Linked DNA regions of Arabidopsis thaliana. The main gene of each other region encodes a partner of the protein of the gene in region 2 in a complex. Each region holds a gene or a part of one and is shown on either strand. Other genes may lie near its edges.

Region 1 (3,753 bases), 7.1 Mb from region 2:
GTTTATATGCCGATGTTCAGAGTTCAGAACATCGGTTTAACTACTTATTTCATGCCAATTAAGACACGAACTAAGACAAAACTAATACTTAGTTTCATTTATGGTTAAAAGCCACATGATCATGGAAAATCAAGAAATACCTTGGGATGCAGTAGGAGTCTTGAATCGTTGAAGGTTTAGTTAGCGAAAACATTGATCTTAACTCGAGCAGTGACATCGGGGTGAAGCTTGAGTTCGGCTATGTATTCTCCGGTTTCACGGATTTCTGGGAGAGAGACAAGGCGTTTGTCGATGTCCCTGCAAAACACAGCCACAGAGAAGCAGATAAAACCATATTAGGTTCTTCGAACAACACTAAAAACCAAATGTAGACTGATCCAACTAAACCGCCCACATGAGAAAGCTTGTAGCTTTTTATGTGGAAATGTAAAATTTTCTATGTTGTTACTTTTGGAGCTGTGATTTGATGATGTCGACGAGGTCTTGAGCTGTGACACTGCAGGAAAATATAAAGTTAAGTACAGGCTAAACACTATTCTCAAGACTGTTAAAATCTAGATTTGCTTAAGTAGGACTTACGATCCAAATATCAGTTTGCCTTTACCGCCTTTGCGTTTAACCTTGAAAGCACCAACGGTTTGGAATACCATCGCCAGTTGTTGTGCCTCTTCTTTCACCTGCAAAAAAGGTTCCACGCAAAGAAAAAACCAACAAACAGATGAAAATCAATAACCAAAGAGTTTTTTGGTGATCACTCAAACACCAAAACTTTACATGATGATCAAATAAAAACAATCAATGTATTCATATCAGATTACCCTTTGCTTCTCTGCCTCAATCCGTTCGTCTTCCATCTTCAATTCCCTGGGGGAAAAACACACACACAAAAAGAAAGAAAATGATGTTTTTCTTGTTGATCTTACAACATTGTAGCAAAGTCCCTCGAAATACAAAGGCCTTAGAACCGAATAGTAAGAGCATACAAAAGCGAACGGAAATTTCGAAGTTGAGGTGAATTACTTGAGCAGAAGTGGAGTCATAAGCTGAGCCTTTCCAGTAGGCAAGAGGAAGTTTCTGAAAAATCCAGCTTTCACATCAAGTAATTGCCCTTGCTTACCCAAATCCGTCACATCCTCTTTCAAAATTACCTTAAAGACACAAAACAAGATTTACCATTAGTGTTTCACTTACTCCATTTCTCTACACAGAAACAAAGCTTCAAACCAATTTATCTTCACTACTTGAAACTAAACTGGTAATATAAAGGCGTCTACTTTTCTAATGTTGATTCATCTTTCTTCCTAACTACGCTGATACAAGAACAAAGACGATGTTTTTACACTAAACCCATAAATTAAGCATCTTCAAGTCTTTTACTTTCATCTCCACCAAAATTCTTCAGAAACACAAGCTCAAATCAAAAACTAACTAAAAGCCAAATCAAATTTTTGAAGGAAACCCATGAAAGGTAATGACTTTTACCTTGCGAAGTTTCTTAGCTTTCTTCTGGGAAACAACTTCAAAATTGAACCTTCGCTCAGATACTTTTAGGGTTTCATTTGCACCGCCATTGAAGCTGTGTGACCAACAAGGAGAGGAGCTCCATGAGAGAGACAAAGCTGTCGAAGAAGCCATAGCCAAAGCTGATTTCACTTCAAAGCAGAGATAACAAGAGCGCACAGTTGTAGTAATTGTTATCTTCTTATCGGCTTTTCGTGTGCTTGCTCAAGTGAAGTGACGAATGTTTTTCTTATGTTTCGAATTTGACCCCGTAATTATTCTACTTTTCTGTTTTCTTACTTAAAAGTTTTATAAAGTTCAATTGAGTACCCAAAATTTAACGGTTAAATCGGTTTTATAGTGCTAAAAGTTCCTCTGGATTTTGATTTACAATGTTTGTACTTTGTATGATGATTATACATATACACAACAAATCTACTCGATTTCAGAATGTACATAATCTCTAAACACAAAGTTCTTCTCTTGTTCATGTAAAGCATATGCAGAAGCAGCTGATATCAGTGATAAACCAGCAAGAACCAGTCGAATCTGAACATCAGAAGGAACACCAGCCGTGGCGGCCCAGAAAACCGTCGCGCCAACGAGAAACTTCTTGAGGATTTGGAAACTGTTGTAAGCTCCTTTGCAGGAAGAGCATACTTGTGTATGCTGATCAAATCTATCTAGCATCTGTTTGTTCAAATTTGTCACGTTTTCAGACATGTGTTTGTATATATATAGAGATCAATCAAATGATGTTAGGATGCATGATTGATGGCTCACCTGACGCTTGGTTAAGACAGTGGAAGGGAGAGGTTGGTTAGACGGGGTGGAGCCGAACCATTCAGGCTGACTCTTACCATGCCGTCTGAGCCAGTTTCTGAATGCTAGAACAAAACGGTCTGCCTGGGTTGGAGTGAATGTGAGCTTTGTGTACTGTTTGTTCACGTCGTAGTCTGGTGACTCCATTGATTTAGCGAGGAATACTTTCTCTTGTCCTTGAAGTACGATCATGTCTCCGTCATAGACTAAGTTCGAAGTCCAGTGTTCATACCATCTTGGTACAACCTAACAAGGAACAGCTTCAGAAGAATTTACGTAGTAAAATCGGATTAGAGATGGAATCAAAGTTTGTTTTACCTGCCACCAAGCTGGTCCTGGTACAGAGAACTGAAAGAAGTTACGGGCGCTGCAAACGATGGAACGGGTCTTTCCTGGAGCCATTGGTATATTGAATGAGCAAATCCAAATGACCCATTTTTGATTACCGACGATTGGTAGTTTCGCATCTAACTCAATTCTGTAGACAAGGATACACAATTTCATTCTATGCAACTGTATGCTAACCATTTATTATGTATAGTGAGCAAACTCAACACTCACTTGTTCATAGAATAGCACGGAGCAACAAATTTTGCGGTTATCCTTGGACTGTCATCATTCGCACCTTGGAAACCCCAAGGCCCACTTGACTCCACCTTGAACGGCAATGGTTTGGCTCTGTCTCTTCTTCCTGTAACCTGTTTACAACACGTAATCATCGCCTGAGGATAATATCCCTTAGTGGAAATGCAAACACATTGGGAGCTTTGAGAAAGAAAACAACACCTTGTGATGAGCAAAATCTATATGGGAAGGATCAGATACATTTTCCATGAGAGTATCATATCCATAGAAAAGATCCCTTTGAATTGTCACCGTCGAAAATTCCGGTTTATCGAAATCATCCGGCAACCTTTTATGTTAAAGATCAACGCATTTAATAAAACGAGTAATAAAACGAGTATGCTATGTTCATGGAAGCCTGAGAAGATAATCATTTTCGTTACCTAGGGGGTTCAATTGAATTGGCTCTATCCCAACCATTTTCATCAGGCCACACAAAGAGAAGACCTTGAGACACCATTGTCGGGAACTTAATAGCACAAGCTCTCGGGGATTTAACAGCACGAGCTTCAGGACCTGAAGTAGCAGCCTGAGGAATCCTAGTGCAAGATCCACACCCACCAAATGACCATCCATGATACGAACATTGCAAGTGTCCATTCTCATCCAACCTTCCTTCCTACATAACCACAATGCATCAACACATACACAAACACATCAATGAGTCAAGCTCAAAACTTTGGTTACATACACAACAAAGTTTACTTCTTTTTGCTCATAAGTCATAACAATAACAACAACACAAAACTGTTCTGATTCTGACCCTAATATTTTATTCTTTGAAGCTTTTAACCTAATTGATATACT
Region 2 (3,753 bases):
CCTTCTGCTCCAGTTTTGTCTGCTTTCTCTGAGCCAGCCAGGTCGACAAGAATCAGTTTTCCTGTTTTTACCCTGTTCACATGCCAGATATGTATATAAGCTCCACCACTACAGCATCACTTTTTTCTGATTAATTGTAAAAAATCGTTACCTTTTATCTTTAACTGAATCCTGCTGGATTGTGAACAAGTAGGCGCAGTGGCTTCTACTGCTGGACATATTCATTTCTGTCATTCATTGTTAAACTGGAAACATTCTTCAAGATGACTCTCAATCAGTTTTAACCTTTCAGTCAACTCGGAGTAGCATAATCATAATCTCACTATCGACTAAATGGGGAAACATTGAACAAGTAAGTGCTGTAAAAGCTAAGAGGATACGGGTTTCCCCAACTGCGCGGTTAGCTAAACCGGTCTGAAATGGCAATTGGCATCAGAAATAAGAAAGAAGAAGGCCGTATAAGGCAATTAAGAAACTTAGGGTAGCTGCTATCTTACGCATAGATGTTGTAATGCCTCCACCGAATCTGATACAGGCACCTGAAGCAACGAATGATTAAAACTTGCCTACCCAGTAAAGATTTTTCTCAACACTAGCAAATAGAAGATATAAGACAATGAAGCTAGCCTCTGTAACGCCTGACAAGAGTATTCCTTGTGTTTTGTTCTCCTTGATCTGTATGTTTGCTTTTGATAAGTCCAACAGGTCCCTGAGAGATATATGAATTTATCGATAAGCTATATACCCTAGAAGAAATCAGAGGGAATTACATACACAATACCTGACTTTCTCCATGTAGATCTCAACCTAGAGGAGACAAAAGACACGTAAGATGTCTATACAGGAGAGCTTGAAAGGAGACTTATAGCAAGTGCATTTAAGTCAGTACCATAGACAATTTAACAGTGTATCTTGCAATATCATTGGAAGAGCTGATTTGCTCAAACATCCCATGGACCACTCTTGGAAGAAGTCCTTTATTGTGCTCATCACAGTCCTGGATGCCTGGTCCCTGAATCAATCGAAGAAAACCAAAATGAGCCAGAAGAAGGAATGGTCCTTGTGCTACAGGAAGAGGTATCAAGATGAGTTAGGTGACCTCCATGGAATAAGTCTTCCCAGCCCCTGTCTGCATAGTATAACATGAAACGATCAAATTGAGATCAAAATCTGCCAAATTAAGAAAAAGACATTGAAAGCATTTCCAGATAAAAGAGATCAGGAGAAGAACAAACCTGTCCATAAGTGATGATTGTTCCGTTTATACCATTTACAGCGTCTGAAAGTAGTAGTAGTAGTACAAAGGTAAAAGATGCAAAAGACAAAGGTAGGAGGAAACCAAAACCAAAAATGTTGATTACATTGTAAAATCATAAGATTGGTGCTCAAATGTTTAGATCTAAAATCCAGAAGAGAAGATCAAGGAATCAATTAGTACCTCTCATGATGGGGAGAGCCAGAAACTCATAAACCGCAGCTTGGGTAGAGTCCTCATAAAAAACTCTATCGAGGCTAAATGTAAATTCATCTTCCTTGTCATCCTACACGCAAGTAAAAACGCTAGATAGAGTTTGAGAGACAGAGAGAGAGAGACAATATTAATCAAGCACACGGCGTCGAGTAGACAAACTTGGAAAACGAAGGTTTCAGCGTCGATGGGTCGAGCACAGACACCATCTCTGCTGGGATCGCGCATCTCTTTAGAGCTTCGCGGCCTGAATCGCGCACAGACGGTTACGTTAGACATCTCCTCTCCTTATCGGAACGAGCTCAGTCTACAGTGAAACACCCAAAATGAGTCAGCAGAAGATGAATGAAATTGGGGAAATAGTAGCACAGGAAATTTGAAGCTGAGAGAAAAGGAATCGGAACTTACCTCTCAAATGGAGTGGAGAGTCAGAGTAGGGTTTCTCTTACGGGCGGGAAAGAAGAAACTCGAAATCTGATTTTTGAGAAAAGAGAAGGAAGAAGAAGAAGGAGAAGGAGAAGAGGTCACGAGGATACGCGTGTGGGTTGTTAAAAGATCTAATGGTCCATAAGAAGACACGTGTCACTAGGAACACGGTAGCTAAGGTGCCCGCCACGCAGAGAATAATAGCTTAGAAAGAATAGGGGGTGTTGTTATCCCCTTGGGCGTGGAGTGGATTAGGGAGACTCGCACTCTTCTTCTTCTTCTTTGTACCCAGAAAGAAAGAGAGCTCCAACAATGGCTGCTTGCGCTACTCACTCCTCTCTCATGCTAGCATACGCCGCCGCATCCACTCGTTCCCAGGACCTTACCCCTACTCCATCTCTTTTCTCTTTTGCCAGCTCCAGACCCAACCACTTGAGCTTCCCGCTTCTTCTCCTTGGGGGTTCCAGGGACCGGAGATGTGCTGCTATTGACAGAGCTTCCAACCACAAGTTTATTGTCTCCGCCGTGGCCGCTGAGGCTGACCTCGACACGGAGGAGGACCTGGAGCAGACCGCCACCGCCGTCCTTGATCCGCCCAAGCCTAAGAAAGGAAAAGCCGCTTTGGTTCTCAAGAGAGATAGAGTATGTGCTTTACCTACTTCAATTTCGCTTCCTTTACTCGTGAATCATCACTTTGTTTGCTTACCCATTGACAGACAAGGTCTAAGAGGTTTTTGGAAATCCAAAAGCTAAGGGAAACCAAAAAGGAGTATGATGTCAACACTGCTATCTCTTTGCTTAAACAAACTGCCAACACAAGGTTTGTTGAGTCTGTTGAAGCCCATTTCCGTCTCAACATCGATCCTAAGTACAATGACCAGCAGCTGCGTGCAACGGTCTGCTTTGCCTTTTGCTGGATATACACTCTATCTTGTGCTGCTTCATTCCACAACATTTTTTAATCTCAATGCATTGTCTTTTTGTATAGGTGAGCCTGCCTAAGGGAACTGGCCAGACTGTTATAGTCGCTGTTCTTGCACAAGGTATATTGCCCCACCAAATTCACTGCTAGGACTTAGGACAGAGATTATGCTTTACCATTTCAGTCACCAAATTCACTGTTAGGACTTAGGACAGAGATAATGTTTACGGTATCAGTCAGTCAGTCAGTACTTCTCTAGATGCAACATTGTTTGGTGCGATTGACTTTTTATTTATATATTGATTGGATGGAGTTCTTGTGTATCATGTGGCTTATTCTTTCTAAATCTTTGGCTTGCACCATTTCCATGCTGAACTTCCAGGTGAGAAGGTTGATGAAGCCAAAAGTGCAGGGGCAGATATTGTGGGCAGTGATGATTTAATCGAACAGATTAAAGGAGGCTTCATGGAGTTTGACAAGCTGATTGCATCCCCGGATATGATGGTCAAGGTATGTGTTGATGATATAATGTTCTACTTGTTACAGCATATGAAACCGTCATGCTTGGCAAATAAGGTGGCATGAGATACTTGTAACTCGTGATCTATTTTCTAACATTCTTGAACTTGGCGCTTAGGTTGCTGGCCTGGGAAAGATTCTTGGACCACGGGGGCTCATGCCAAATCCCAAGGCTGGTACAGTCACAGCGAACATTCCCCAGGTAAGCCTACTCTGCAACATCTTTTCCTGATTCTGGTAGTCATGGCTTAAAGATGCATAAATCTCTCAGGCTATTGAAGAGTTCAAGAAGGGGAAAGTTGAATTCAGAGCAGACAAAACTGGGATTGTTCACATTCCATTTGGGAAAGTTAATTTTACAGAGGAAGACCTTCTCATAAACTTCCTTGCAGCAGTGGTAGGCTAATTCTCCATTCTT

Evidence for each region. Proteins that work in one complex are often made in the same cells at the same time.
Region 1: EMB3126 (region 2) and RPL9 share a complex: the UniProt entries of both Arabidopsis thaliana proteins name them as parts of the 50S ribosomal subunit.

The regions. Positions count from the first base shown.
Region 1 is NC_003074.8:16,384,387-16,388,139, reverse strand, and holds the start of RPL9 (ribosomal protein L9), read right to left. Parts: upstream 1,746-3,753; 5' UTR 1,636-1,745; coding exon 1,483-1,635; intron 1,149-1,482; coding exon 1,021-1,148; intron 865-1,020; coding exon 819-864; intron 678-818; coding exon 580-677; intron 497-579; coding exon 449-496; intron 298-448; coding exon 177-297; 3' UTR 141-176; intron 1-140. Other genes in the region: ACD1 (Pheophorbide a oxygenase family protein with Rieske 2Fe-2S domain-containing protein), read right to left, coding at 1,936-2,190, 2,284-2,568, 2,641-2,800, 2,884-3,020, 3,109-3,235, 3,330-3,565. UniProt on the Arabidopsis thaliana protein: Binds to the 23S rRNA.
Region 2 is NC_003074.8:23,442,063-23,445,815, forward strand, and holds the start of EMB3126 (Ribosomal protein L1p/L10e family), read left to right. Parts: upstream 1-2,140; 5' UTR 2,141-2,206; coding exon 2,207-2,536; intron 2,537-2,610; coding exon 2,611-2,790; intron 2,791-2,882; coding exon 2,883-2,937; exon of another isoform or gene 2,938-3,198; coding exon 3,199-3,326; intron 3,327-3,453; coding exon 3,454-3,537; intron 3,538-3,606; coding exon 3,607-3,732; intron 3,733-3,753. Other genes in the region: AT3G63480 (ATP binding microtubule motor family protein), read right to left, coding at 1-72, 152-227, 381-414, 498-539, 616-709, 782-807, 890-1,012, 1,100-1,129 and 3 more. UniProt on the Arabidopsis thaliana protein: This protein binds directly to 23S ribosomal RNA.